6 linked regions of the Macaca fascicularis genome follow. The protein of the gene in region 1 binds, or shares a complex with, the protein of each later gene. Links are inferred from orthologs where the notes say so. Each region holds a gene or a part of one and is shown in the gene's direction. Other genes may lie near its edges.

Region 1 (5,101 bases):
GTAGTAAGAGTTGGATAGCTTCATCAATATACTAAGAACCACTGTATGCTTTAAAAGGATGAATATTATGGTATGTGCACTGTATTTTAATAAAGGTGTTCTTTTATATATTTATATATTTATTTATTTTTTGGGTGTTTTTTAAAATTTTTTTATTTATTTTTATTTTTTTTGAGACGGAGTCTTGCCCTGTCTCGCCCAGGATGGAGTACAGTGGTGCAATCTCGGCTCACTACAACTTCTGCCTCTGGGTTCAAGCGATTCTCCTGCCTCAGCCTCCTGAGTAGCTGGGTCTACAGGCATGCGCCACCATGCCCGGCTAATTTTTGTATTTTTAGTAGAGACGAGGATTCACCACGTTGGCCAGGCTGGTCTAGAACTCCTGACATCGTGATCTGCCCACCTTGGCCTCCCAAAATGCTGGGATTACAGGCGTGAACCACCTACCCAACCTTAATAAGGGTGTTAATTAAAAAAACAAGCTAGGCACCTAGGGTATAAAATTGAAGGAGGCTCTGATTCTCAGGGCCACGCAAATGCAGGGCTGGCACCTATGAGTGTGGCCCTCCTGAAATGTTGTGCCTTAGGCACCTGGCTCTCCCTAATTCAGGCCCTCAGGAGAAAGCCCTAATTCTGGTCAGTTCGCAACAGGAGGACACGGCTTCTGGGAGACACTCGGTGCTCCAGAGAGAGGCATTTGGTCCGTTCTCTTCCTCTGGACGTCACCGTGCCGACATGAAATGCTTCCAATTGCGTCCAGCCTAGGATGGAGCGGGGTGGGGAGGATATCTGGTGACATTACGAACTGCTGCATCAACTCCCCCGAGTCCCTGCCTCTGGACCCCCGAGAGAGGACACAAGGAGTGTCCGGAGCCCATGTGACTCAGTGTCTCTTCCCATCACTTCGCGGGAAAATGGGGCTGCTTACACCGCACCGCAGCCCAAGCACCTGTGGCTGGAGAGGGGCTCGGGCGCCAGGAGTGAGGAGCCTGGTTCTGGGCCCGGGACCGGTACTAGTTAGTGGTGGGACCTGGAACAAATGGTACTAGTTAGTGGTGGGACCTGGAACAAACGCTTTGGTTCTAAGTGAATCCCTCATATTCATGACATGAGGCGTGGAACACAGACCCATGGGGCCTTCCCACTGGAACATGGAGCTTGGCTGTCACCCGACCTTCGCTTCCTGAGGTAGAAAAGCCCAGGGTTCCAGGCTCTGTCTCCTTTCCCGCAGACCCCTTGTTTCTTGGCGCGGAGGCCCTGGGCCCCGCAGGCTCCCACCCACTTCTCTGGGCTCAGAACTTCTCTGGGTTCAGAACCCGATCCCGAAGCGGCCGTGGCGCTGCCGGTGGCCGAGGCCGGGCGCGCGCCTTGGGGACCTGGCGGGCCTCAGGCTGGCGGGAGCATTCGCGGACCTCGCCCTGGGCCGGGAGGACTGGGGGACCCTGGCCTGCCCCTTCCCCTAGCCCTGACCTCGGCCACCACGCGCGCCGCCCCCGCTGGTCCCGCCAGGCTCCGCCTGAAGGCAGAAAGCGGGGCGGGGCGGCGGGGTGGGGCGCCTCGGCCACCACGCGCGCCGGCCCAGCTATTCCCGCTAGGCGGAAGCGTGGCAGGCGCCCGACCCTGCGGTATAAAAGCGGTGCCCGCAGAGGCCCTAGTGGGAGTCCGCGGCGAGCGCAGCAGCAGGGCCGGGTCCTGCGCCTCCGGGATCGGCGTCCAGGCTCGGAGCGCGGCACGGAAACGGCGGCGGCGCTGGACCAGGTGGTAGGTGCGGGCGTCCCCGCGCAGGGCGCTGCGGGTGGCGAGGCCGGGTGCGCGCCTTGGGAACCTGGCTGACCTCAGACCGGCGGGAACATTCGCGGACTTCGCCCTGGGCGGGGCGAACTGGGGGGACCCTGACCTTCCCATGTTCCTAGCCCTGCCCTCCGCCACCGCGCGAACGCGCGCGCCTCCCAGGATAGTCCCGGCAGGCGCAGCCCCAGTCAGGCGGCTTGTCAAGTATGGAAGGAGCCTAAAAACCCCCGTCTCCCAGACAGTTTAAAAGGCGGTGCCCGCCAAGGCCCGAGCGGGAGTCCGCGGCGACAGCAGCAGCAGCAGCAGAGTCACGTCTTGGGCCCTGGGGATCGGCGTCCAGGCTCGGAGCGCGGCACGGAGACGAGGTGGCAGGTGAGGGCATCCCCGCGCTGGGCCGGGGTCGGGAACGGGAATGGCGAGCTTCAGGTCCCCCGGCTGCCACCGAAAGATGAGACCTGAGGACAGGAGAGGTCGCTCATCCAAGAGCCCCGGGGAAGCGGTGGTGTCTCGGCGGGTCAGGAACGGTCTCTGGGGGGTCCCCTGCAGCGCGCAGCCGGTTTCCGCCTCCGCAGCTCCCCGCCAGCGCGGACGCCGCCCTCCCCCACGCCTCCTCGCTGCCCTTCTCCGGCCGAAGCTCTCCCCTGCAGCCCCTCCCCACCTGCCAGCCCTGTTTTCTCACTGCTCCTCTCTGCTCTGGGATCCGCAGGATGACGGCACTTCTCTTTCAAAGTCACCAGTCTCCAGTTCCAAATCCGAGCACTCTTACCCATCCTAATTCTTTCAATAATTCAGCGAAACGGATGGGGCCCGTCCTTCCCCGGAGCATTCCTCCAGGGACTGTGAATCCGCGGAGCCAGGCTCAGCCGTCGCCTGCAGGGCCTGCGGTCTGTGGGGACCGCCAGCAAGATGAGGAGTCACCTTCGGGACGAACGGTCGTGCTGGGGAGGGTTGCGCCGGCGGGGTCAAGGGAACCTCCTTTAGGGTGGGAATCAAGCCTCCAGGCCGCGGTGTTTGAGGGTGAGTAGAATTAATCCCGTGATGGACATGGGGCCTTGTAAGGGGGACCAGGAGTTTGTGAAGAGGTGACTTTGGGAGGGGTTCAGGATGGCCAGAGGTGGAGGCTGTGACCTGAGCGAGGCTGGATCAAGGGAGGGGGCAGGTGGAGAAGAAACCGTTTTAACAAGGTGGCTTTGAGCGGATCCTAAGGGTTCTGGGAGATTTAGGAGGAAGGACAAGAGGATTAAGACACGGCTTTCTGAGGATCCTGTGTGGCTGTGGCCCGGTGGTGGCTGGGGGAAGCGGGTTGTGTTCATTGTCCAAGGCTCTCCAGTGCTTTGCGTGGCGTTTCGGGGAGCACACATGAGGTGTCCCGACAGTGAGGAGTGGCTCTAAGGTGAGCAGAGGCTCGGGAGGGGGCCTGCGCATTAGGCCAGGCACAGGATCCGAAGTGGAAAGAAATGTGGGCGAAATGTGGGCGTAGAGGGCAGGCCTTGGGGATGGGTGTGGGGGACGAGGGGGATGGAAAGGGGTCAGGGAGGTCTCCCAGGCTCACCTGGAGGAGTGAGGGTCTCATTTCCAAGGGCACTGGGAACTGCAGCCTGGGGGTGGGGGTTCATTTGGTTTCAGACCTGTGGCGAAGAGACCCACCCCCTCACATTCACACTTTGGCTTCCACTAGCTTCAGAGGTAGTACTAGCTCTTTGTTCTCGCTGGTTTTCCTTCCTCACCTTGGGCTGTTTCTTGCCTTTTCCATTCTGGCGTTCTGCAAGGACCAGTTCCTTCGTCTCATGCACCATCTACACTCATGGCTTTTGCTGGGAGTAATGAGTAAAGCTCCCAAATAGATGTTTCTGAGTTAGAGCACTGAAAACAAAATGAAGCAAAAACAATGCATTTCCAATCTTCCAAGATCACATGATGTCCAGAGGACAGTGATGGGCAATGACTTTTTGTCTTCCCCATTAGAATGCAAGTTCCACAAATGGAACACGGAGATTTTTATTTATTTATCTTTTTTTATTTGAGACGGAGTCTTGCTCTGTCACCCAGGCTGGAGTGCAGTGGTGCAATCTTGGCTGACAGCAACCTCCGCCTTCTGGGTTCAAGCAATTCTCCCACCTCAGCCTCCTGAGTAGGTGGGTCTACAGATGTGCGCCACCACGCCCAGCTAATTTTTGTATTTTTAGCTTCATCATGTTTGCCAGGCTGGTCCGTAACCCCTGAGCTCAGGCAATCCACCCGACGGAGCCTCCCGAAGTGCTAGGATTACAGGTGGGAGCCACTCCACACAGCCAGAACAGAGATTTTTTATGTTTAATTCACAACCGAGGCTTCACTGCCTAGAACAGATGCTCAGTAAATATTTATTAAAGGAATGAATTCCTTTTTGTATCTCTTGTATCTATCACCAGATACTCTTGTATCTAGTACCTATTTGGCATACAGTAGAAAGCTTTGTTGAGTGAATAGCTCTGCCTTTTGTCTTTTTTGGTATGTATACATCTTTTAAAAAATAATGAATAGACTTTTAGAGCTGTTTTAGTTTACAGCAAAACAAAGCAGAAAGAAAATATCCCCTCCCACAAACATCCTGGACTGTATAGCCTCCCCTACCATCAACATCCTGCATTAGTGTGGGGTATTTGTTACACCTGATGAACCAACATAGATACATGGTTATAAAAATGAACCAATATGGATAAAACATATACATTATCAGTCAAAGTCCAGAGCTTGTTAGGTTTTGCTCTTTGTGTATATTCAAGATACATTTGACAAATGTATAATGAGATGTACCCAACACTGTAATATCAGATTCCACTGCCCTAAAAATCCCTTGTACTCCACCTACCTATCCCTCCTTCCCTGCAAATCCCTGGCAACCACTAATCTTTTTTACTATCTCCATAGTTTTTCCTTTTCCAGAATGTCACATAGTTGGAATCATACATTATGTAGTCTTCTCAGATTGGCTTCTTTCACTTAGATTTATACATTTAAGATTGCTCCAGAATTTTTTTTTTTTGTGGCTTCAGAGCTCATTTGAGCCTTAATATTCCATTGTATAGATGTGCCACAGCTTATCTGTCCACCTATTAAATGACATCTTAGATGCCCTGAAGTTTTGGCAATTATGAATAAAGCTGCTATAGACATTCTTGTACAGGTGTTTGGGCGTAAGCTTTCAACTCGTTTGGGTAGATATCAAGGTGTGGAGTTGCTTCATATTATGGTAAGAAGAGCTTGGTTAAGAAATTGCCAAAATGGGCCGGGCGCAGTGGCTCACGCCTGTAATCCCACCACTTTGGGA
Region 2 (5,034 bases), on another chromosome or scaffold:
GTTTATCCCTGATTCTCAGGGTCTCATACCAATCTGAAGAAACCCGGTTATAACACCTTTCCAACTCCTTTTTGCCTGCTTCCTTCAAGTGGAGATACTGAGCCTGGGTTATTCTCTCCAAAAAGAATCACAAAGGGAGTGGCTACCCCTTTTGATGGTTCTCAGCTTCTGACTCTAGGCTTTTCTGAGGACCTGCTACACTTCTTGCCTTCTTGGATTCTGTGTGATACCACCATATCTCTATACTAAAGCCTACTTCAGACGGATTTCATGAACTGTGCAGGTGAGAGCCCTCAGTCCCTATAGGAACCCGATCTCCTCTTTCCTCCTACTGAGTATGGAGCTCCATCTAGGATGATCAGTGCCTTAAAAGAGGCTTAATATTTTTGGTTGTTCATTTATTCATTCAATTCAACAAATATTTATTGGGTATCTGCCATGTATTGGCTTTTAAAGAGACTACAGTTGAACAATTCCCTAAATAGCTCCAAAATAGCATGAGCTGACCCTACCAGAAGCCATGGTGTAGCTCTCCAGGAGTTGTTCTAGAAAAAACTGCTGATCACTTCTGCCTCAACCAGAAGAGCCCATGGACCGCTGAACAAAATGGAAAGCAAGTACCAAGGTGAGCCCCTTTTAGTGAAAGCCAACACACAACCCACAGGGTTGAGTATCCCTGTGAAGGACTGAGTGCCTAGGGCTGGCCCTATCGGGTTCCCACAACCTCCAGTCATGGTCAGACCTCCAAAAGGTAAAATATGGACACCTTTTTTCTGCCCTAAATCTTTAAGACTCTCCATGCTTCTGGGTTATCAAAAGCCTGTGTCCAGAGCATGTGCTTGTCAGGAACATTAATTAGGGTATTTGCATGCAAGAATTGTCATGCAAGAGAGAGGGCAGGAAAGCTCTGAATTGTTTCCACTGCAGTGTACACCACAATGTCACCAACTCGCTGGATGGGCTGGTATATCTAGCCTTACCACAATGCCCTTGGAGTGGGTTTGGGGTCTGCCAGCTCAAGGAGCTCCTGTTCATAGGGCATATAAGTCCCTATGAACATATAAGTCCCAAGGAATACAAATAGGGATCCTTCACTACATCGTTGGATGCTTCACAACTTTCCCAGCCTCCTGCAGGACCAGCTGAGTGGTCCTGCAACCTATGTGAAAACAGGTGAAACCTATGTGAAAACAGCCCTGAAACCTATGATGTGAAAACAGGATAACTTGATGGTTCAGAGCCATTATTTCCATATGGGCTTAGGCAAGGTACTTAAACTCTCAGTGTCTCAGTTTCCTCATCTATAGAAAGGTAATAAAAGCAGTACCTATCCCCTTAGGGTTCGTGTGAGAATTAAATAAGCTAATCTATGTACCTGGTGCATGATAAGTTTTATATATGCATTGGCTATGATCTTAGGGCAGCTATGAGAGAGCTGAGCCCTAAAACCATAAAACCTGCCTAAGCACCATCTCCACTCATGGCCTGGCAGGTGGTGGAGCAGGAAATCCTGTGGGAAAAGAGAAGGCTTTGACTGTAGGAGTGGGTTGATTGTGGGTTCCTGGAAGGTGAGGACCCATTCCCTAACATCCTCAATGCCCAGCCACACCTAACCTGGCCGCTGCATGCGGCAGGCACTCAGGAAACGCTAGTCAGGGAGAAAGACACTAGCTTTCGCTTTGCCCCCTGCCCCACCCCAGGGGCGGGACTGTAGAGGCGCCTGTAAGGGAAGTTGTTCAGTCAACTCAGAATACGGGTAGCAACCCGGAAAGTGGAGTCACCGTCCTGGTCTAGAGACTGATCCCTGCAGAGACAGATCCCTTCCCCTCTCTGCCAAAGACCGCAGCCCCAGAAGTCATTCCATCTCCTACTGCTCGCAATTTCCAGAGGCCCCCTCGCACCTTCCAGCCTGATGTCGTGCGTCAAGTTATGGTGAGTAGGGAGAGGCATGTCGATCGCAGCCTCCGACATTCACACCCAGAGCGCCCCACGGACTCGCTCAGAGAACGCCTTTGAGTCTGGAGACGGTGGGGGCCGGCGAGAGAGGCCGGGGATTGCAGTAAGAGCGCCGAGTCACAGGGGCGCGGGGAGCAGCGCTGGCGTAGGGCACTGCCGGCTAGTGGGCGACACCCCTGTCTCAGGCCCAGTGGTGCCTCCGCCTCCTTGGTGTCCATCGAGGAACTGGAAAACCAGGAGTTCGTCGGCAGAGGCGGGTTCGGCACAGTGTTCCGGGCGCGATATAGGAAGTGGGGCTACGACGTGGCGGTCAAGATTGTAAACTCGTGAGTGACCCCTGTTGCCCCCCCGGCCGCAATCTGGCCAAAAAGGTGGAGCCACTGTGCTCTGGGGCCTGAATGGGGAATGGAGGGATTTTTCCCACGACCCCGGGTGACTCCAGCTCTCTCCTGGAGTGTAGGAAGGCGATATCCAGGGAGGTCAAGGCCATGGCAAGTCTGGATAACGAATTCGTGCTGCGCCTAGAAGGGGTCATCGAGAAGGTGAACTGGGACCACGTGCCCAAGCCGGCTCTGGTGACTAAATTCATGGAGAACGGCTCCCTGTCCCGGCTGCTGCAGCCCGAGTGCCCTAGGCCCTGGCCGCTGCTTTGCCGCCTGCTGAAAGAAGTGGTGCTTGGGATGTTTTACCTGCACAACCAGAACCCGGTGCTCCTGCACCGGGACCTCAAGCCATCCAATGTCCTGCTGGACCCAGAGCTGCACGTCAAGGTCAGCTGCTCTACACCCCTCTCAGCCTCAGGACAAGGTCCCACCCCAGAGCAGCTCCAGCCAGGCCCACTGGACACCAGACCTCCAGAGCCCTGTCTATTGAATAGGCGTAGCCTCTCCCTCTGGACACAGGGCTGCCAGGGCACAAAGCCCAGCCAGGAGTTTTAGCTCCTGCCATACCAGGTGATAGAGGCCCCGACCCACACGAGTCCTTTCCACCAGCTGCCCCACCAACCCCTCCAAAGAGTCATGGCTGACCCAGCCCTGGAGACTCACACCTTGACCCAGCCCTACCACAGGCACCTAGATCTACTATCCAAGGGAGCCTCTTCCCTTGACCTCCACACTCCCTTTACAAAGCTGAACCTGAACCTTCTGGGGGCAAGGGGGTTTCTGGAGGCTGCCTGGCCCCCTTGTCTTCCCTACCTCCCACTTCTTTCCTTCCTTTGCAGCTGGCAGATTTTGGCCTGTCCACATTTCAGGGAGGCTCACAGTCAGGGACAGCATCCAGGGAGCCAGGGGGCACCCTGGGCTACTTGGCCCCAGAACTGTTTGTTAATGTAAACCGGAAGGCCTCCACAGCCAGTGATGTCTACAGGTAAGGATCCCAGCCCAAACACACAGCCGGGATTCCTACACTTCTCTGGGCCCTCCCAGGGGGTGATGTATAGGAAAGGAGTCTTGCCAGTGATTGGACTGGTCCTCAGCTTTGTGTCTCCTGCAGCTTCGGGATCCTAATGTGGGCAGTGCTTGCTGGAAGAGAAGCTGAGTGTAAGACTCTAGGCGGATTCTGGGATCCTTAACCCCAGGTGCCCTTCTCTTGAAAGCCCCAAAGCTTCCCCTTCCTGCTCACCTACTAAGACTGCCCTCCTCCATCCTTGTGCTCCCACATTACACTCCCTGCCTCTTTCCATGATGGAGCAGATATTCCCTTTTACCCTGAATGCCTTCTCTTCTCACCCTCCTCCCCTACTCCAGTGCCAACAGAAGCATCACTGGTGTGTGGAGCAGTGTGCAGGAGGCAGACCCGGCCCTCATTGACTGAGCTGCCCCAAGCTGGGCCTGAGACTCCCGGCTTAGAAGGACTGAAGGAGCTAATGCAGCTCTGCTGGAGCAGTGAGCCCAAGGACAGACCCTCCTTCCAGGGTGAGCTGGCCAATTAGCTGGATCTGGGGTAAGCTTGGGTCTGTCAGCATGGGGCTTTCCTCAGGAAAAGAAGATTTGCTCACCTGCAACCCACTCTGCTGTCCCTCTAGAATGCCTACCAAAAACTGATGAAGCCTTCCAGATGGTGGAGAACAATATAAATGCTGCTGTCTCCACAGTGAGCGCCAACATCACCCCTCTCCAGGAGCTGGTCAGGGATGGCACAACATGGCTACCTGGCCATCCAATGACTCACCATTAACCACAGCTTTTTTATGCCTTGACCTTTGTCCTCACCCTCCCCAGCCCACCCCTGAGTTCCAAGAGACTACTCCCTTGGGTTTACTCTGGCTCATCCAAGTCATACCCAGCAAACTCCTCCCATCCCTGCAGGTAAAGAATTTCCTATCTGAGCTCAGGAGCAGCAATCCGAGATTTTCTACCCCCGAGTCAGGCCAAGGAGGGACAGAAATGGATGGCTTTAGGAGAACCACAGGAAACCAACACTCTCGTAATGATGTCATGGTTTCTGAGCTGCTAAACAAACTGAATCTAGAGGGGTCTCCCAGCTCTGTTCCTGAAAAATACCCGAGCCTTACCAAGAGGAGCAGGGCACAAGAGGAGCAGGTTCTGCAAGCCAGGACAGCAGGGACATCTTCAGATTCAGTGGCCCAACCTCCCCAGACTCCAGAGACCTCAACTTTCAGAAACCAGATGCCCAGCCCCACATCAACTGGAACACCAAGTCCTGGACCCCAGGGGAATCAGGTGAGACATTGGCAGGATTAGGGGATGCACTAAGAGTCCTATAAATGCTGTCCCCTTGCCAGGCAAAACTTGGGGCTGAGAGGAGTGCACTGGGCGGTCCAGGCTCCAGGACAGAACTGGATGCTCTGTGATGTTTGCAGGGCGCTGAGAGACATGGCATGAACTGGTCCTCCAGGACCCCGGAGCCAAATCCAGTAACAGGTACCCACTCTCCACCTCTTTCTTTTCCCTGTTCAATTCTTCCATGAGACTCCTCCTCCAGATCTATATCTAGATTCAGGGTACTTTCTGGAGGCGAGGGGAGAAGATCATCTAACTCAACCTCATTTCATAAATGGGAAAACTGACACCCCCTGAGAAAGGAGCCCTCTGAGGTCACACAACGAAGCTTGGA
Region 3 (4,792 bases), on another chromosome or scaffold:
GTTAGGTGACTGAGAAACCAAGGCCCTTCTGATCTTTATTCATCGTTCACTATTAGTTTAAATTTGTTGCTCTTCCATCCACATGATTCATTCCAAATCCTAAGTGTTGGAGAAAGGGAGTTAGTGTGTCATAGAAAAATCTCTGTTTTGGCCCAGCAGGACTGAGTTTGACTCCATGGAACTGTTTGAGCCTTAGTTTCTTCATCCATAACATGGGAGAACAATACCCTGAATTGCTGCAAGAATTAGAGATAGTTCATGTCAAGGTGTAACATACAGGTAATATGTTACTTCTGGTGTTCTGGTTATAAAATGTACAAGATGTGCAAGCAAAAGGGCAGAAAACCCTTTTTAAAAATTCATGGCTGGGTGTAGTGGCTCACACCTGTAATCCCAGAACTTTGGGAGGCCGAGGTGGGTGGATCACCTGAGGTTATGAGTTTGAGACCAGCCTGACCAACATGGAGAAACCCTGTCTCTACTAAAAATCCAAAATTAGCCACGCATGGTGGTGCATGCCTGTAATCCCAGCTACCCAGGAGGCTGAGGCAGGAGAATCACTTGAACCCGGGAGGCGGAGGTTGCTGTGAGCCGAGATGGCGCCATTGCACTCCAGCCTGGGTAACAAGAGCGAAAATCCATCCCAAAAAAAAGAAAAAAAAATTCACATGGGAAACAGAGGCGGATGGCAGAGAACAGGGGAGTGGCTGGGCACAGTGGCTCATGCCTCTAATCCTAGCACTTTGGGAGGCCAAGGTGGGTGAATTCCTTGAGGTCAGGAGTTCGAGACCAGTCTGACCAACATGGTGAAAACCCGTCTCTACTGAAAATACAAAAATTAGCCAGGCGTGGTGGTGGGTGCCTGTAGTCCCAGCTACTTGGGAGGCTGAGAGGCAGGAGAATCACTTCAACCCAGGAGGTGGAGGTTGCAGTGAGCCAAGACCGCACCACTGTACTGTTACATGGACAACAGACTGAGACTCCATCTCAAAAAAAAAAAAAAAAAAAAAAAAAAAGAGAACAAGGGAGGGTCTGGGGTTCAGAGCTTTGGGGAACAGACCTCAGTAGCACCAACACTCCAGGATCAATGCTACAAAGACACGGGTTACAACTAAACTGGAGAACATGGCCAAAGAAGGGAACTGAAGTGTCCTGGCTCAGCCCTATTTAGGGCTGTTTAGCTCTGTTTAGGGCTGAGCCAAGTAGGGCTGAGTCAGAACACTTCCTCCTTTTTTTGTGAACAGTCTACCTACATTTCAGCTACAGGGGTGGCTTCACCCAGTCCGTAGGGAGGGAGGAGAGGGCTGGTCTATGACTTCAGTGCTGAGGTTTGGATCAAGGCAGAGGGAAACTTCCTCTTCCCAGACCCTTTGCAAGGAAGAATGGCATATTACTTGTCACCGACAGGGGTTATGATTACTAAATGGAGTCAGTATAAATGCTTTCCAATAAAGCACGTCCAGCGCTCGGGGTTTTAGTTTTGCATGTCCATGAAATGTCTGCCACCTCCCTCTTCTGAATGGTTGGAAACTGGGCATCTGTTCCTTTAAATAGGAAACATTTCTTGTTCGGGTGAGTCATCTCCGTTCTGCTTTAGGAGTAAAATTTACCCTGCAGTTCATTCTGCTGTGAAGTTTTCTCTTTCTCTCGGAGACCAGGTTCTGCCCTTCTGCTGGAGGGAAGTGTTTTCACAGGTTCTCCTCCTTTTATCTCTTGTGTTTTTTTTTCAAGCCTCCTGAATTTGCTAGTCAACTCAACAGGAAGTGAGGCGGTGGAGGGAGGCAGAAGAGCCAGGGTGGTTACTGAAAGTAAAAGAAACTTCTTCCTGGGAGCCTGTCCCACCCCCTTCCCCACTGAGCACGTGGAGTTAGGCAGGTTAGGGGGCTCAGAGACTGCGATGGTGCCAGGAAAGGGTGGAGCGGGTGAGTGCCTGTTGCCGAGGTGGCCTCTTCAACAGGAAACCACATATTTTTGTTTCTTGACTTGCTCTAGAAACAGGGCTGTGGGGGCGGGGAAGAAGCTTGGATCTGCCCGGCTGAGGACACCTCTGGGTGCTGCCTGGCCAGGTCTCCTGTGGGGTTTCTCTCTGAGCTGTTGCCTCTGATCTTGCTACTTTTTCACTCTGAGCAGTCTCCATTTCCTCTGCTGCCTTTTTGTCCTCCCAGCTTCCCTACTGCCTGGAATACAGATACACAGTCTCCCTCCTGTGAACCCGTTTGGAGAGTCCAGAAAACTTTATCAATCCACTTTTTTTTCTTTTTCATTTGGCTCTGGGGCCGAGGGTTAAGTTCTTTATTCTGTCGAATCACAGTGCCCTGAGGTGCACAGACCGCTTACCCCTCTTCCGTGTCTTAAGGGTTTCCTTTTATGTCTCCACCCCCACCCCTGCCCTCCTGCCCTCTCTCTTGCTCCCCAAAGATAATTCTCTAATGTTTTGATGTGGATTCGTGAATTTATCTGTATCTTTGCAAAATGTATTTTTCTTTTGTATATGTACACTGTTTTTTAACTATGCCATCTCAGGCAAGTAAGTAATTCCTCTGTACCTCTGTTATCTCATTGTTAAATGGGATTAATAATGCCTTGAGAGGTGACTGTGAGGCTTGAAGGAGATAATACGCACACATCACTTACTACATGAGTTAGCAATTATTATTGCATATTAATACTATTGGCATTTTATTTTACTCATTCTGTTTCTATTTCTTTTTTATTTATTTATTTTTTGAGACAAGATCTTGCTTTGTCACCCAAGGCTGGAGTGCAGTGGTGCAATCATGGCTCACTGCAGCCTCGACATCTTGGGATCAAGCAATGTTCCCATCTCAGCCTTCAGATTAACTGGGACCACAGTCGTGTGCTACCACACCTGGCTAATTCAAAAATTTTTCTTCATAGAGATGGTGTCTCACTATGTTGCCCAGGCTGGTCTCAAACTCCTACGCTCAAGGGATCCTCCCGCCTTGGCCTCCCAAAGTGCTAGGATTACAGGCATGAGCCACTGTGGCCATCCAGGCATTGATGTTATCAGGCCACCTTGACCTAGCCCTCTCTGGTGAAGAGTCCTTTTCAGATACTTCATTCAGTCTTCTCAGCTATGAGTCCCTGCCCTCTGAAAGCTTATATTCTATTTGGGGAAAGACAAAAGGCAGTTTCAAAGAAGAGAGGTGCTTGATTTTCTTTTCCTACTTTTAACATCAGAAAACATTTCGTCTAACTCTCAGTATGAAGGCAATCTTTTGTTTACTGATCTGTCCCTAGAGCCCAACATGGTGAGGGCCCCAGGATTTGCCTCTTTGATAAGATGGTAAACCCATCTTGTGGCTGACTTCGTGGTGTCCCCAGCTACACTCATATACAAGGATCACCTTTGGTAAGATAGGGTTACCATCTTACCAAAGAGTTTTTGCATTTTAGAGGTTTTTCTTTTTAGATTTTTTTCATTTTAGAATTTTTTTATTTCAGAGTTTTTTTCTTTTTAGAGGTTTTTCATTTTAGAGTTTTTTCTCTTTTAGAGTTTTTTTTTTTTTTTTTTTTTTTTTTTTTTTTTTTTTTTTTAGAGTTTTTTAGGCGGCTGAGAGTGGAATCTGGTGACTTGGGGCCACAGAGATGCTCCTTGGCTAAACCAGGGGCTTTAGCTCTGAACGTTCACAGTCACCCTGAGAACAAAGATGAGGGCTCTACGATGTCCAATCTCAAGACTTCTCCGAGGTGCTCCATCAAGATTCATTGAATGAAAAAATTAAAGTCTTAATGATGAACCCAGAAAAATCTTTAAATCCTAAATACGAAATGAAAGTGTTCTTAGTTACAATCCAGTTCAACGTCCTCATTTTGGAATGTGGAAATGAGGCCCCAAAGGTAAAATGGCCCATCATAGCCAGGGGCCAGTGCTCAGGTGGCCAGATGCCCCGCCCCACCCTGCAGGCAGTCTCTTGGACCATCAGGCCTTTTTCCTCCAGCTTTAGAAGCTTTAGAAGGTGCTCTGTTCACTCAGGGGCAAGTGGTAAGCGTTCCCTCCCCTCTAGTGTTTGTGACTTAGGAGTTTCGAAACAGGAAGTACAGCTGGCTGTGCCCTTCATCCTTCATTAGACGTTTGCTCTTGTCTTAGATGCTCAGATGGCAGTGGAGAGGCCTGTAACAAAGGTGTTACCATCGTGAGAGTAAGGTAAGGATTTGCCCCTTTGTTAAGGTCAGAGGGGCCTTTTGGGAGAAGGCCTTTGATTCTGGAGTTTTTTAGGCTGCTGAGAGTGAGGTTGGGTGGCCCTGGGGCTATGGAGGTGATCCTCGTATGTGAGTGTGGATGGGAAACCATGAAGTTAGTGGAAGAGGTAGCAGTCCCTCTGAGAGCCTTGCCGAGGGCCGTGCAGTTTCCAGATCTTGAGGCCAGTCTGGCTTAGACTGATTAAGTGCTAGGAGTTTCTGAAATGCTGCCATTTACCTACTTGTATAAAGGCTTCATCCTGATCCCAGCTAAATTTGTGAAACAAAGAGTAGAAGCCAAAATTTAAATCTCAACTAACTTTGCTGCTACAGCTATCCTCCCACCAACACACATACCCACCAACATACACATTTGCCAACATAAACACACACACACACACACATACACACACCCATGTGGTCCTACTAATTCAATTATTTATGTTTTAAAGAAATTTAAAAAGGCTGGGCGCAGTGGCTCACACCTGTAATCCCAGCACTTTGGGAGGCCGAGGCGGGTGAATCACCTGAGGTCAGGAGTTTGAGACTAGCCTGACCAACATGGAGAAACCCTGTCTCTACTAAAAAT
Region 4 (4,835 bases), on another chromosome or scaffold:
TTCAGGGCTGAGCTCTCGACCCCATTGGCTACCAAGAGCTGGGAGGCCTTACACACAGCATTCACCTCTGTGGGCCTCAGTTCCCCCTTCTGTGGTCTGGAAGAGAACAGTGGCTCTGAGTTTTTCTGGGGTCACTGGACCTTTTGAGAATGTTGTGTGAGCAATGGGTCCTCTCCCAGAAGCATTCCTGTGAGGGTGACCACGGTGCCCATGACTACGGATGGCTCTGGGGCTCTAGCCCGAGAGCTGAACTGGATTAGCCCCTTAAGTCCTCACCTCGACCCCACGAGCTAGGTCCTTTAAGTCCTTTTACACATGGGGAAACTGAGGCACAGAGGGGTTAAATAATTTGTCCAAGGTCACGCAGCTGGTAAATGGCAGAGCCAGGTTTGGACCCAAACATGCTGATCGCAGGCTTGCATTCCGAACCACTCAGCTGCCGGTTCTCAGATGCTGACCCCAGGCATCTGACTCTGGAATTAATAAGCCAGTTTTATGATGAGGCTGGGAACTCCATGCCATCTGTGCACTAAGGGTGATTCACCAATGACTTCTAGGTGTTACAGATCAGGAAACACAACTGGGGAATGGACAGGACAAGCTCTGCCATGGACTCTGTGTGGACTTGGACAAGTGATCTTGCCTTTCTAGCCTCAGTTTCCCCCCTGAGAAGAAGTCAGAACTGGCCCCTACCCTGTAGATGGGTTGGAGGAGCACTTGCGATTGGAAAGCACATAGTAGGTGTTCATTAAAGACACTCACATGGATACATACAAGAACAATCTCAGGGCACTCACCCACCTAAATGTTCTGCCCCTAGTGTGAGCAAGGGAAATAAACTGGGTAGAAGACAAGAAAAGCCACTGAGAGCTGGGGATGGTGCCTCTGTAGCACCTGTGAGTCCCCGGGGAGGAAGCACCACAGGAACCAGGGGGGCCGGGTGTGGGGGCTCACGCCTGGAATCCCAGCACTGTGGGAGGCCAAGGCAGGCAGATCGCTTGAGCCCAGGAGTTTGAGACCAGCCTGCAACATGATGAAACCCCATCTCTACAGAAAATACAAAAATTTGCCGGGAAGGGTGGTTTAGGCCTGTGGTCCCAGCTACTAAGGAGGCTGAGAGGTGGGCGGATCGCTGGAGTCCGGGAGGTCGAGGCCGCCGTGAGCCATGGTCACGCCACTGCACTCCAGCCTGGATGACAGAAACCCTGCCTCAAAAACAAACAAAAACACAGAAACCGGGAAACCAGCCCCAGCTCCTGACATCATCAGAGTGATGCCACGCCCTGACATCCCCCCTCCAGATGGTGCATGCTCTTTTTTTTTTTTTTTTTTTTTAATTCTCTGATGCTGATTCAGAAAATAAAAATGTGGAGGTCCAGGTGGGCTGTGTCTGGAACTGGGAAGGTGAGGGAAGTCCTCTGTCTCAAAGGCCTCTTCAGAGGATGCTCTGGTCTTGCCAAGTTTACAGCTCCTCCCTGTCAACATCAAGTCAGGGCCCCAACTCTGTCTTGCTCATCCACCCAGCTTCCAATTGTCTTTCTTTCAAAAGACACACAGTGAAGTTTCATTTTCTTTTTCTCCTGAAACCTAATCTGGCCGGGCTGGCTAGGCATCTATTTCCGGACTGTAAGCAGCTGACACCCGCCCGGTGGAAGTTGGCGTCCCTTCCCTTGCGGGTTCAGAGCTGCAAGAAGCACCAGGCTTGGCCACTTAAGCCCCAGCCTTGATCTAGCCCACCCTCTCAAGGCCACAGTGCAGAAGCCTGCACCACCTGCCAAGTCTCCCCGGCTCCTTGCAGCTGCTGTGAGCATGGCCCAGGCTCCTGCTGACCCGGGCAGAGAAGGTACAGTACTCCTTCCTTCCAAGGACCAGCGGTGGCTCCCGGGGTGAGATTTCCACTTCTCTTTCTTCCTGTTGTGCTTGGCCCAGATCATGATGACAATACCGGTATCCTAAAGAATAGTAGACCAACTGGGCATGGTGGCCCACGCCAGTAATCCCAGCACTTTGAGAGGCAAGGTAGGTGGACTGGTTAAGCTCAGGAGTTTGAGACTAGCCTGGCCAACGTGGTGAAACCCCGTCTCTACTAAAAATACAAAAATGAACCAGGCATGGTGGTGCATGCCTGTGATTCCAGCTACTCAGAAGGCTGAGACTGGAGAATCGCTTGAACCCGGGAGGTGGAGGTTGTAGTGAGCTGAGATGGCGCCATTGCACTCCAGCCTGGGTGATAAGAGTAAGACTTCGTCTCAAGAAAAAAAAAAAGAAAAGTAGAAAGCTGTCGTTCGACAGCTGACTATGCCCTGGGCACCTCAAAACAAGCTTCGCAAGCATTTCTCAATGGCCTGCAGGGACAAGTGCCATGTCATTCCCATTTTATAGATAACTGAGGCCCTGAGAGGTGAAATGACACTCTCGGGGTAGCACAGCTGGTGAGCACTGGTGCTAGCGTTTGAACACCCATGTCACAGTCATATCGAGAACAAAGCAGTTTGCTTTGATGAGGTACATGTATGCCCTTGTTCCTTGTTGTTGCATTCTTTCCTCAACTAACATTTCATTCATTTTATTCCTGGAAGAGCTGCAATGAAAGCCAATAGTGTATCAAGCAATTGCTGTTCTCTAGGGTCTCCACGAAGCGCTGTGGACTGTAGGTGAAGTGTGGTTTTGCAGTTTGGGGGATGGGTTTGTTTTGTTTTTAATCCTCACCGCAATCTTTGAAGTAGTTATTATTGTCTCCATTTCACAGAAGGGGAACCTGAAGCCGGGGGGAGGTCACATAGCTAGTAGTTGTCAGGGCTAGGAGCTCAAACCCAGGAAATCAGCCATCAAAATTTTAAAAAACCAACCCAGACTGTGCCCCTGGTGGGCTAATGTCAGGGTGTGGCCAGGAGCCGCGCTGGCCACCGAGTTCCTGTGGTGCTTCCTCTTCGGGGACTCACAGGTGCTGACAGAGGTTCCGGACTCAGCCCTCGCTGGCTTTCCTTGTCTTCCTCCCCAGTTGATTTTCCTTTTGTGACCAAATTGCTGCCTACACCTGCTCCATTTTACAATTTTCCATTTTCAGACATAGGAGCCTGGGACTTAGCGGTCGAGTCTAGCCCAGCACCCGGGCTTGTCCTGCATCCACACCTCTGACCCCCATCTCCTCTTGGATCTGTGGAGCAGAGGTGGTGGCTCCCTAGGGTCAGCCTTCCAGAATCAAAACTCTGCAGCCGGGCACAGTGGCTCACGCCTGTAATCCCAGCATTTTGGGGGGCCAAGTTGGGGGGATCACCTAAGGTCAGGAGTTCGACACCAGCCTGGCCAACAAAGGGAAACCCTGTCTCTACTAAAAATACAAAAATTAGCCGGGTGTAGTGGTGCGTGCCTGTCATCCCAGCTACTTGAGAGGCTGAGGCAGGAGAATTGCTTGAACCCGGTGCGTGTCTGTAATCCCAGCTACTTAAGAGGCTGAGGCAGGAGAACTGCTTGAACCCAGGAGGTGGAGGTTGTGGTGAGCCGAGATCGCGCCACTGCAGCTGCAGACTGGGCAACAAGAGTGAATCTCTGTCTCAACAACAAAAAACTCCGAGAGACAAGGCGAAGCCAGGTGTGAAGTCAGGTGCACGGGGATGCTGCTGGCTGCCGGTGGGGGAGTTTGGTAGGCGCAGGAGTGGGAATTCCCAGGTCTTCTCATTTCTCTTCACCTGCACACGGTAGCCTGTCAGCATTGTAGCCATCAGGGCGAGGCACAAACTGATTTTTCCCTCCCCTACAAGTGCTGCGACCGAAGATCCCTGGGCAACCCTAGAGAATCCTCTGAACAGGAAGAAAGCCCAGATGACAAGGACTGAGTCACTGTCCTGGAAGGGGAACTCGGGTCTTTCCCAGAAGAGCTCTCCCACGCACTGCCCTCGGGTTCCTTGAAGCAGAACCTTCTGGTGACAGGTGGGCCCCCCCCCCACCGTGGCTCTCCCAGGCTGCTGGCTGCAGGTGCTGCCTGTACCCTGTGTCTGCCCCAGCCTCATCTCTGGGCAGTGGCTGGCTTTGATTTTTTAATCATTGTTTGAGCTAATGGTTTTGATTTTTAAGAGCTGCCTCAGGAGGAGCAGGGGCCATTTGGAGAATTCCTCCTTGAATCTCTTGGGGTCCTGCTTAGGGCTCATTAAACTCAGGCCAGGAAACAGCAGCACCTGCCAACTGGCCAAGGAGGAGCTGCCTGGGTCTACTGAGTAAATGTCTGTCCCTAGAGACAGACACTCACTTACTCAGTCCTTTTTTTTTTTTCCAGAGATGGGGTCTTGCTCTGTTGCCCAGGCTGGAGTACAGCGGTGCATTCATAGCTCACTGCAGCTGCAACCTCCTAGACTCAAGCGATCCTCCCATTTCAGCCTCTTGAGCATCTGGAACTACAGGCACGTGCCATCATACCTACCTGATTTTTTTTCTGTTTTTGTAGAGATGGGGGTCTCACTATGTTGCCCAGGCTGGTCTAGAACTCTTGGCCTCTAGGGGTCCTCCAATCTCAGCCTCCTGACATGCTAGGATTACAAGTGTGAGCCACCACTCCTGGTCCCATTCATTCATTCATTCATTCACTCAGTCACTCATACATTCAACTGCCATTTCCTGAGCACGTCCTGTGTGCCCAGCACTGTGCTACATGCTGACGGTACAACAGTGAGCCACGCAAGTACAGCAGGGGACACGAGGGGACCCACACACAAGCAGATCCCAGCCACTCTGGAACACAGGGACAGGCTTCCCCAAGGAAGTGGCATGTGAGGAGGCTGGAGGTTGAGTAGACATCATACAGGTTGGGATGTGGGGGAAGGGTGTTCCTGGCAGCCGGA
Region 5 (4,355 bases), on another chromosome or scaffold:
TTCATTTTAAAACAAGATTTTTTTTTTTTTTTAGAAAAATTAACTGCTCTTGAAGATATCTTAATATGGTTTTAGTATTTATTTCTGGTGACATTTGAAAATGTGCACTGCTCATATGTTTATATGCTTATTGGCCATGTCTTCCATTTTTTAATCAGTTGATAAGGAATACAAATCGGTAACAAAACCAAAGCCACTAAGTCAACCTGAAATGAGTCCTGCTGCATCTGCAGCCGTCAGAAATGATGTCACAAAGCAACGTGCTGCACCAAAAGTCTCTCCTCATGTTAAGGTAGGATGAGGAGAGTGGAGTGGTCTTTGTCCTTGTAAGAGCATCACTGTCACTGTCATTTCCCACATTGTTCTCTGTTCTTTATCTCAGAGCATGCAAATAAGGGAATTAAGGCCACAGTGTGAAAAGCACTCTGAGTCACAAAAACAGGAACTACCTCTGATTAATCAGATTAAACACCTGTTGAGCTTCTAATCTCTGTCAGGGCCTGGACACATTAACACTCTGTTATGGTTTGGATTCTATAAGACGAAAACTCTGAGATAGACAGTTGTTTACAGGAAGTCTATTTTAGAGCACTTTCAGAATTAGTATCTGTGAGGAAGTGAAAGGAGTAGAAGAGGAAGAATGTCAAGTCCAATATAGTTGCAATAGAGGCCTTGGCCTACCCCACAGGGAGCTCGGGAGCTGAGAATGCCCTTCAGGGCTCCCAAGACTGGTGGGGGAGTCTGTGGTTTGCACAGACCCAGGCTCTGGGTCACATCAGAGATCTATTGCAGAGACTCTTACACTCGGCCTGGCATGCCTCTGTTTGTTTTCCCCTGTATTTTCCCTTAGTTCTTGACAGCAAATTGCTTTTTAAAAGTAATGTAAAAAAGCCCTTTATACACCTGCATGGACAAGGTGAGGTGGCCCTGTTTAGCTGAGAGAGTAGTGCCTGAAGAGTCTCATTGATGAGAATGATTACTTTAGTCCTGAGGGAGCGGCAGGCAATATCGGAAAGGCCCAACACAGAATCCACCACACATGCAATTTCATTTCCTGTGAAGCAGGTGTTACACCATTTTATAGCTGTGTGAGCTCTAGAAACTGATTACACATACTTCATTCTCTTTGTCTAGAGGAGCCATTTCCTCTGGGTTTGGCCCAGAAACTTCTGGATTTTTCAGAAAACAAGGTTCAAGTATACATGGTGTGATTCCATCACCAGTAATGAAAATGTGCATCATTCAGTCTGGAAGACTCAACTAAAGATACATGGACCAAAGAGGACTTTTGTAGTGGAACTCAGTGGAACTGACCTTTACCTGCATTGATCCAAATGCAGTCAGTTATACTGCCCGTCAGGGCCCCTTACTGGCCCCAGCTCCACTGGCCCAAGCTTCAGGTCACATCGGAGACAGCCTTCGAGACTCCTACACTTGACTTTTTATGCCTCTGTTTGTTTTTCCCTGTATTTCCATTTGGTTCTAGATGGCAAGTTGCTTTTAAAAAGTAGTATTTTCTCCCAAAACAAACCAAAAAAGGTATCTTATCTCTGTTAATTCAGAAAAATAAAAAACACAGAGAAGCGAATAAAATTACCTATAATTGTATCATCTAGGAAAAAAATATTGATGTTGGTAAATATCTCTGTAGTGTGTTTGTGTATGTGCTTTAACTGCTTATTTATCCAAAAAGAAAGAGATTTTTTATCTGTTTAGGACCTTTCCCTTTATTGAGTCAGTTATAACAGTTTATCACATTATTTCTCTAAAGCATTTTTAATATTTGTATAGTAATCTATTTGTGACTATACCATATTTTGTTTAACCAAATTCTATTTTTTATGTATTTAAATTATTTCTTTTTTTATAATTTCAAATAATAAGATATATTTTTAAAATGTAAACCTTAGTGCATAATTCATTATTTAAGGGTAAATCCACAAATGTAGTATCAATTCTCCTTTTAAATTTCTCCTTTAACTCACTTGTAAGATCTCTGACCTAGGTCTCCCCCTTAACTCACATTAAACATAGTCTACATTTTGTTACGTACAATACCTCCCTAGGAATTTGGGGAACCCTGTGCAGGTCACTGAGCTCTCTCACTTTTATACCAGAGTAAAATGAATGTTTAGGACAGTGTTGGATAGAGAAACAAGGATATATTATGCCCGAATGGAATCCACAGAAGATGGAATCAGATTTATCAGATTTACCCCGAGGCTTAGCAATATTTCAGAAATCTGATGAAGTCTTTTTATACAGCACATGGCAAAGCAAGGATTTGGTTTTAGGGATCCTTCCTCCAAAACATGTTACACCGTCTTATCTGAATACAGGAGTTGAAATCTTCCTTCTGCACTCTCTGTTCCATCTAGATCATTCTAGGCCTCAAGTCTCTTCTTATCCCCTCTGTGTCTCTTCCCTTGATTCCACCTGTCTTCTGTGGTTTCCTGAGGCTTAGCACTGTGGGTGAAGGAAGGTCCTCTCAATAGTACCTTTTTGACTCACAGCTGATATCTTTCTTCTCTTGTCTTCAGCCTGAGCAGAAACAGAGGGTGGCCCAGCAGGAATCTATCAGAGAAGAGTTTCGGAAAGACTGTTTGCCAGTTATGGTACTGAAAGCAACAAAGCCCTTCACGTTTGAGACCCAAGAAGGCAAGCAAGAGATGTTTCATGCTACGGTGGCTACAGAGAAGGAATTCTTCTTTGTAAAAGTTTTTAATACACTGCTGAAAGATAAATTCATTCCAAAGAGAATGATTATAATATCAAGATATTATCAGCACAGTGGTTTCTTAGAGGTAAATAGCGCCTCATGTGTGTTAGATGCTAAATCTGACCAAAAGGTTGATGTCCCGCTGAACATTATCAGAAAAGCTGGTGAAACCCCAAAGATCAACACGCTTCAAACTCAGCCCCTTGGAACAATTGTGAATGGGTTGTTTGTAGTCCAGAAGGTAAGTTTTCATAGCTAATTTCATATTGATTAGTAAGAATAACGTATTTTCCATCTGATCTTAAAGAGACTTTAGAAAAGGTGTTAATGTCTATACAGACAAAATAAAAAAATACAAAGTTCTAAAGAGCTGCAGAGTTAACATGCCAAAATTCATACGAAAACTCAAAAATTGTTTTTATTGTCAAAAATGTCACAATCCTGTTTCAACTTATTCTTATCCCAGTAGCCTCTGAAAAAGGAATTAGTTCGTTCACATAGTTTTTATTTCTGCGTTATTTTTGTACTTTGTCCATATTATCTTTATTTTAAGTGACTATTGTTGTGATTGCAAAATAAGTGTAGTTGAGTAATCAACCAAATTAATTGACCTGAAAAACCAATATGCAAGTCAGGATTAAAGAACTGTGATTAAATGAAGAAAACAGAAGAAAGAGTTAGCTTGAGGAGACTTATTTATTTCTTTCTTTTTAATTAAAAGTAAACTTTAATGTCGAAAATGCAAACTTGGGGAAGACAGAAAAGATCACATACAAGGCTATCACTTCACACTTGGAAGGTTGCACAGCGGCTGGCGCTCCTCTCTTTCCAGACGGTGGGGCGGCCGGGCAGAGGCCCTCCTCACTTCCCAGACGGTGGGGCGGCCGGGCAGAGGCCCTCCTCACTTCCCAGACGGTGGGGCGGCCGGGCAGAGGCCCTCTTCACTTCTCAGACGGTGGGGTGGCCGGGCAGAGGCACTCCTCGAGGAGACTTATTAGAAGTGAGAAATAATAAAGTATTATGACTCTGAGCTTCAGGGAACTAGCCTTGTGGAATGACTTTTTCTGGTCTAGGGCAGGACCTGAAGAACCGTAGAGAGGGAACCTGCTGCCCCTGCATTCAGAGCCTCAGAATAACCTCTGCTGCCTTGGGTTAGTTTTAGAAGGAATTGATAGGAAGACTCTCCAGTCCTCTTGGAAAACTCAAGTGTAAAATGACCTTGGATAGGAAGGTCATGTTCTTTGTCCCAGTTTTCAGCTTTTAATCTGGCCACTAACATATATTGATTTAGTCCACAAAATTAAAGCTAAAATACAATCAATCTCCGAAATAACTGACCAACCTCCTATTTCCTTTTGATCTAGACTTGATTGTGCATTATTTCTTGTCTTTGATTACTTACTAGACTCTCAGCTGGATCTTGCATCATTACCTCATGTCTCTCCTGGACTTGTTGTTTTAAATAGCTGTCTTCAGGCTGGGCACGGCAGCTCATGCCTATAATCCTAGCACTTTGGGAAGCCAAGGCAGGTGGATCGCCAGAGTTGAGGAGTTCCAGATCATCCTGGCCAATGTGGCAAAACCTGTCTCTAGTAAAAATACAAAAATTAGCCGGGTGTATTGGTAGGGACCTATA
Region 6 (3,337 bases), on another chromosome or scaffold:
AACATGACCTGGGTTCCTGGGAGGAACGGGATTATACCCAACATAGCATGCAGGGCCCTAAGCAGGGGGTTCCTTGCGTCTCCTTGTTGTCGGGACATTGTAATTTAGCCCCTCTGAATACAAATGCTCAGGACTTTTTTCCCTATCTCATTTTTCTCTGTAGTTCCAGAGCTGATTGGCGCTCAGGCACATGCCGGTAAGTGCCCAGATCAAGGCAAGTGGCCCTGACCTGCTGGATCCCTGTGCTCTCCCCCACCACGTTCGAGAATAACTGCCCTGTCCCTGTTTTCCTGCAGGTGGGGATAACCCTGTAGGGATGTTGCCCACGGACCCCTAGCTAGGTATTCAAATTTTCTTTGCAGTTAATGTGATTCTGGATGCAGAAACCGCTTACCCCAACCTCATCGTCTCTGATGATCTGAAGAGTGTTAGACTTGGAAACAAGCGGGAGAGGCTGCCTGATGGCCCGCAAAGATTTGACAGCTGCATCGTTGTTCTGGGCTCTCCGAGCTTCCTCTCCGGCCATCATTACTGGGAGGTGGAGGTCGGAGACAAGACAGCGTGGATCCTAGGAGCCTGCAAGGCATCCATAAGCAGGAAAGGGAACATGACTCTGTCACCAGAGAATGGCTACTGGGTGGTGATAATGATGAAGGAAAATGAGTACCAGGCATCCAGTGTTCCCCCAACCCGCCTGCTAATAAAGGTGCCTCCCAAGCGTGTGGGCATCTTTGTGGACTACAGAGTTGGAAGCATTTCCTTTTACAACGTGACAGCCAGATCCTGCATCTATACATTCACCAGCTGCTGTTTCTCTGAGCCCCTTCAACCTATCTTCAGCCCTGGGACACATGATGGAGGGAAGAACACAGCTCCTCTGACTATCTGTCCAGTGGGTGGTCAGGGGCCTGACTGAATGCCCAACACTGCATCTCTCTTCCAGCTTCTGGCCTTGTATCTTGCATTCACATACTCAACAGTCACGGAATGCCGCCTGGGTGCCAGCTGCTACAGGAAATGCAACGAATAACAAAATAGTTACTGTGCCCATGGAGCCTCCCCGATTGTAGCAGAGCTAAGTTAGGAACGAACGTATTAGTAAATCCGCTAAAGAAGTGTACTGATGACACACCATGGATTTCAGAGGAGGAAGTACAGGGTCGTTGCATAATCCATCCCTGGTGAATGGTACTCTCAGGTGCTCCTGAACAGAAGATTTGGCCCTCATTTTCCCTCAGAACCCCACGGCAAGGACATGTCCCCTGGTTCTCTCTGCTTTTGTCTTGAGGACATGGGAAGTCTAGAGAAACACAAGCAGACTGGATTGGGATAGAAGTATTTGTGTACCTGGATTAATGAACTATGACTTTTTTTTTTAGACGGGATCTTGCTTTGTTACCCAGGCTGGAGTGCAGTGGTACTATCTCAGCTCACCGCAACCTCCACTTCCCAGGTTCAAGTGATCCTCCTGCCTCAGCCTCCTGAGTAGCTGGGATTACAGGCGCATGCCACCACACCAGGCTAATTTTCTTGTATTTTTAGTAGAGATGGGGGTTTCACCACGTTAGCCAGGCTGGTCTTGAACTCCTGACCTCAGGTGATCCACCCACCTTGGCCTCTCAAAGTGCTGGGATTACAGGCATGAGCCACCCCGCCCGGCCTATGATTCTTTTTTTTTTTTTTTTTTTTTTCTTCGAGACTACTCTTGTTGCCCAGGCTGGAGTGCAGTAGTACAATCTTGGCTCACTGAAACCTCCGTCTCCTGGGTTCAAGAGATTCTCCTGCCTCAGCCTCCCAAGTAGCTGGGACTACAGGCGCCCGCCACCACACCCGGCTAATTTTTTGTATTTTTTAGTAGAGACGGGGTTTCACCGTGTTAGCCAGGATGGTCTCGATCTCCTGACCTCGTGATCCGCCCGTCTCAGCCTCCCAAAGTGCTGAGATTACAGGCTTGAGCCACTGCGCCTGGCCAAAGTTTACTTCTTAAAATAGGAAGTGCCATATTGCCCTCTTAAATAATTGTATTAATTTGCTTTCAGAATTCTGAATATTATTTTTGTAATTATTCTTTTAAATTTCATTTCTTTAATTGCATGTGACTGTAGCCATCTTTTCATGTTAAAAGGCATTTATAGAGATATATATTGTGTTTACACCCTTAATTTATGGTATCATTTCAAATCCATTTATGTCATTTATTTTACGGATTAGATTCTAAAAACAGGATTCCATCCAATTGTTTTAAAAAATCTTTATCGCTCTTTTTTTCCATCAAATTAAAAAAAAAATCTTTATCGTTCTTTTTTCGTCCCCTCCTCCTCCTGCCTCCCGAGATGGAGTCTCGCTCTGTCTGTCACCCAGGCTGGAGTGCAGTGGGCACGATCTCAGCTCACTGCAACCTCCGCCTCCCAGGTTCAAACGATTCTCCTGTCTCAGCCTCCTGAGTAGCTGGGATTATAGGCATGCACCACCACGCCCGGCTAATTTTGTATTTTTTAGTAGAGATGGAGTTTCACTATGTTAGGCTGGTCTGGAACTCCTGACCTCAGATGATCTGCCCACCTCGGCCTCCAAAAGTGCTGGGATGAGCCACCACGCCCAGCGTATTGTTCTATTTTTTTTTAAGGTTTTATTATTTTTAGTTACCAAATTGACATGTGCTCATTAAATGAAGTGACACAATTAAAAAAAAAGTGTAATCTCCCCCTTTTCTCCATTTCCACTGCCTCCCTATGAGTAACTATTTTATTTTTATTTTATTTATTAATTTGAGACAGAGTCTTACTACTCTGTCGCCCAGGCTGGTGCGCCTGTCACTCAGGCTGGAATGCAGTGGTGCAATCTTGGCTCACTGTAACCTCTACCTCCACCTCCTGGGTTCAAGCAGTTCTTGTGTCTCAGCCTCCTCCCAAGTAGATGAGATTATAGGTGCCCGCCACCATGCCCGGCTAATTTTTGTATTTTTAGTACAGATGGGGTTTCCCCATGTTGACCAGGCTGGTCTCGAACGCCTAACCTCCAGTGATCAGCCCACCTCTGGCCTCCCAAAGTGCTGGGATTACAGGCATGAGCCACTGCGCCTGGCCATCCCATGAGTAACCATTTTAATAGTCAAATGTGTATCCCTCAACACATACATAGGAGTTTTGTTTGTTCCAAAAATATAATTATGCATGATATATGTAGCTCTGAAACTTTTTCATGTAATATTTTATGGCCATCCCTCCAGGTGTACCTATAGTTCCAATCCATTCTTTTTCACAGCTGGGTAATTTCCAGAGTATGAATGCACCAATTTACTCATTTCCTTACGTATGAACATGCATGTCATTTCTAG

Evidence for each region.
Region 2: RIPK1 (region 1) and RIPK3 share a complex: the UniProt entries of both Homo sapiens proteins name them as parts of the AIM2 PANoptosome complex. The link is inferred for Macaca fascicularis from reciprocal best matches to the Homo sapiens genes RIPK1 and RIPK3.
Region 3: RIPK1 (region 1) and CASP8 share a complex: the UniProt entries of both Homo sapiens proteins name them as parts of the AIM2 PANoptosome complex. The link is inferred for Macaca fascicularis from reciprocal best matches to the Homo sapiens genes RIPK1 and CASP8.
Region 4: RIPK1 (region 1) and ZBP1 share a complex: the UniProt entries of both Homo sapiens proteins name them as parts of the AIM2 PANoptosome complex. The link is inferred for Macaca fascicularis from reciprocal best matches to the Homo sapiens genes RIPK1 and ZBP1.
Region 5: RIPK1 (region 1) and AIM2 share a complex: the UniProt entries of both Homo sapiens proteins name them as parts of the AIM2 PANoptosome complex. The link is inferred for Macaca fascicularis from reciprocal best matches to the Homo sapiens genes RIPK1 and AIM2.
Region 6: RIPK1 (region 1) and MEFV share a complex: the UniProt entries of both Homo sapiens proteins name them as parts of the AIM2 PANoptosome complex. The link is inferred for Macaca fascicularis from reciprocal best matches to the Homo sapiens genes RIPK1 and MEFV.

Annotation. Positions count from the first base shown.
Region 1 is NC_088378.1:169,999,286-170,004,386, reverse strand, and holds the start of RIPK1 (receptor-interacting serine/threonine-protein kinase 1), read left to right. Parts: upstream 1-1,656; 5' UTR 1,657-1,761; intron 1,762-2,064; exon of another isoform or gene 2,065-2,163; intron 2,164-2,583; 5' UTR 2,584-2,591; coding exon 2,592-2,808; intron 2,809-5,101. UniProt on the Homo sapiens protein: Serine-threonine kinase which is a key regulator of TNF-mediated apoptosis, necroptosis and inflammatory pathways.
Region 2 is NC_088381.1:92,153,206-92,158,239, reverse strand, and holds the start of RIPK3 (receptor-interacting serine/threonine-protein kinase 3), read left to right. Parts: upstream 1-1,747; 5' UTR 1,748-1,912; coding exon 1,913-1,932; intron 1,933-2,141; coding exon 2,142-2,282; intron 2,283-2,416; coding exon 2,417-2,726; intron 2,727-3,178; coding exon 3,179-3,324; intron 3,325-3,450; coding exon 3,451-3,497; exon of another isoform or gene 3,498-3,535; intron 3,536-3,704; coding exon 3,705-3,872; intron 3,873-3,982; coding exon 3,983-4,050; intron 4,051-4,265; coding exon 4,266-4,640; intron 4,641-4,780; coding exon 4,781-4,841; intron 4,842-5,034. UniProt on the Homo sapiens protein: Serine/threonine-protein kinase that activates necroptosis and apoptosis, two parallel forms of cell death. Necroptosis, a programmed cell death process in response to death-inducing TNF-alpha family members, is triggered by RIPK3 following activation by ZBP1.
Region 3 is NC_088386.1:97,036,433-97,041,224, forward strand, and holds the start of CASP8 (caspase-8), read left to right. Parts: upstream 1-1,750; 5' UTR 1,751-1,897; coding exon 1,898-1,922; intron 1,923-4,109; exon of another isoform or gene 4,110-4,168; intron 4,169-4,792. UniProt on the Homo sapiens protein: Thiol protease that plays a key role in programmed cell death by acting as a molecular switch for apoptosis, necroptosis and pyroptosis, and is required to prevent tissue damage during embryonic development and adulthood.
Region 4 is NC_088384.1:113,682,957-113,687,791, reverse strand, and holds the start of ZBP1 (Z-DNA-binding protein 1), read left to right. Parts: upstream 1-1,657; 5' UTR 1,658-1,809; coding exon 1,810-1,843; exon of another isoform or gene 1,844-1,886; intron 1,887-3,441; exon of another isoform or gene 3,442-3,592; intron 3,593-3,761; exon of another isoform or gene 3,762-3,930; intron 3,931-4,273; exon of another isoform or gene 4,274-4,409; intron 4,410-4,735; exon of another isoform or gene 4,736-4,835.
Region 5 is NC_088375.1:102,018,657-102,023,011, forward strand, and holds part of AIM2 (interferon-inducible protein AIM2), read left to right. Parts: intron 1-158; coding exon 159-292; intron 293-1,134; coding exon of another isoform or gene 1,135-1,329; exon of another isoform or gene 1,330-1,640; intron 1,641-2,540; coding exon 2,541-2,960; intron 2,961-3,399; exon of another isoform or gene 3,400-3,709; intron 3,710-4,151; exon of another isoform or gene 4,152-4,308; intron 4,309-4,355. UniProt on the Homo sapiens protein: Sensor component of the AIM2 inflammasome, which mediates inflammasome activation in response to the presence of double-stranded DNA (dsDNA) in the cytosol, leading to subsequent pyroptosis.
Region 6 is NC_088394.1:4,035,450-4,038,786, reverse strand, and holds the end of MEFV (pyrin), read left to right. Parts: intron 1-163; coding exon 164-196; intron 197-362; coding exon 363-916; 3' UTR 917-2,297; downstream 2,298-3,337. UniProt on the Homo sapiens protein: Involved in the regulation of innate immunity and the inflammatory response in response to IFNG/IFN-gamma.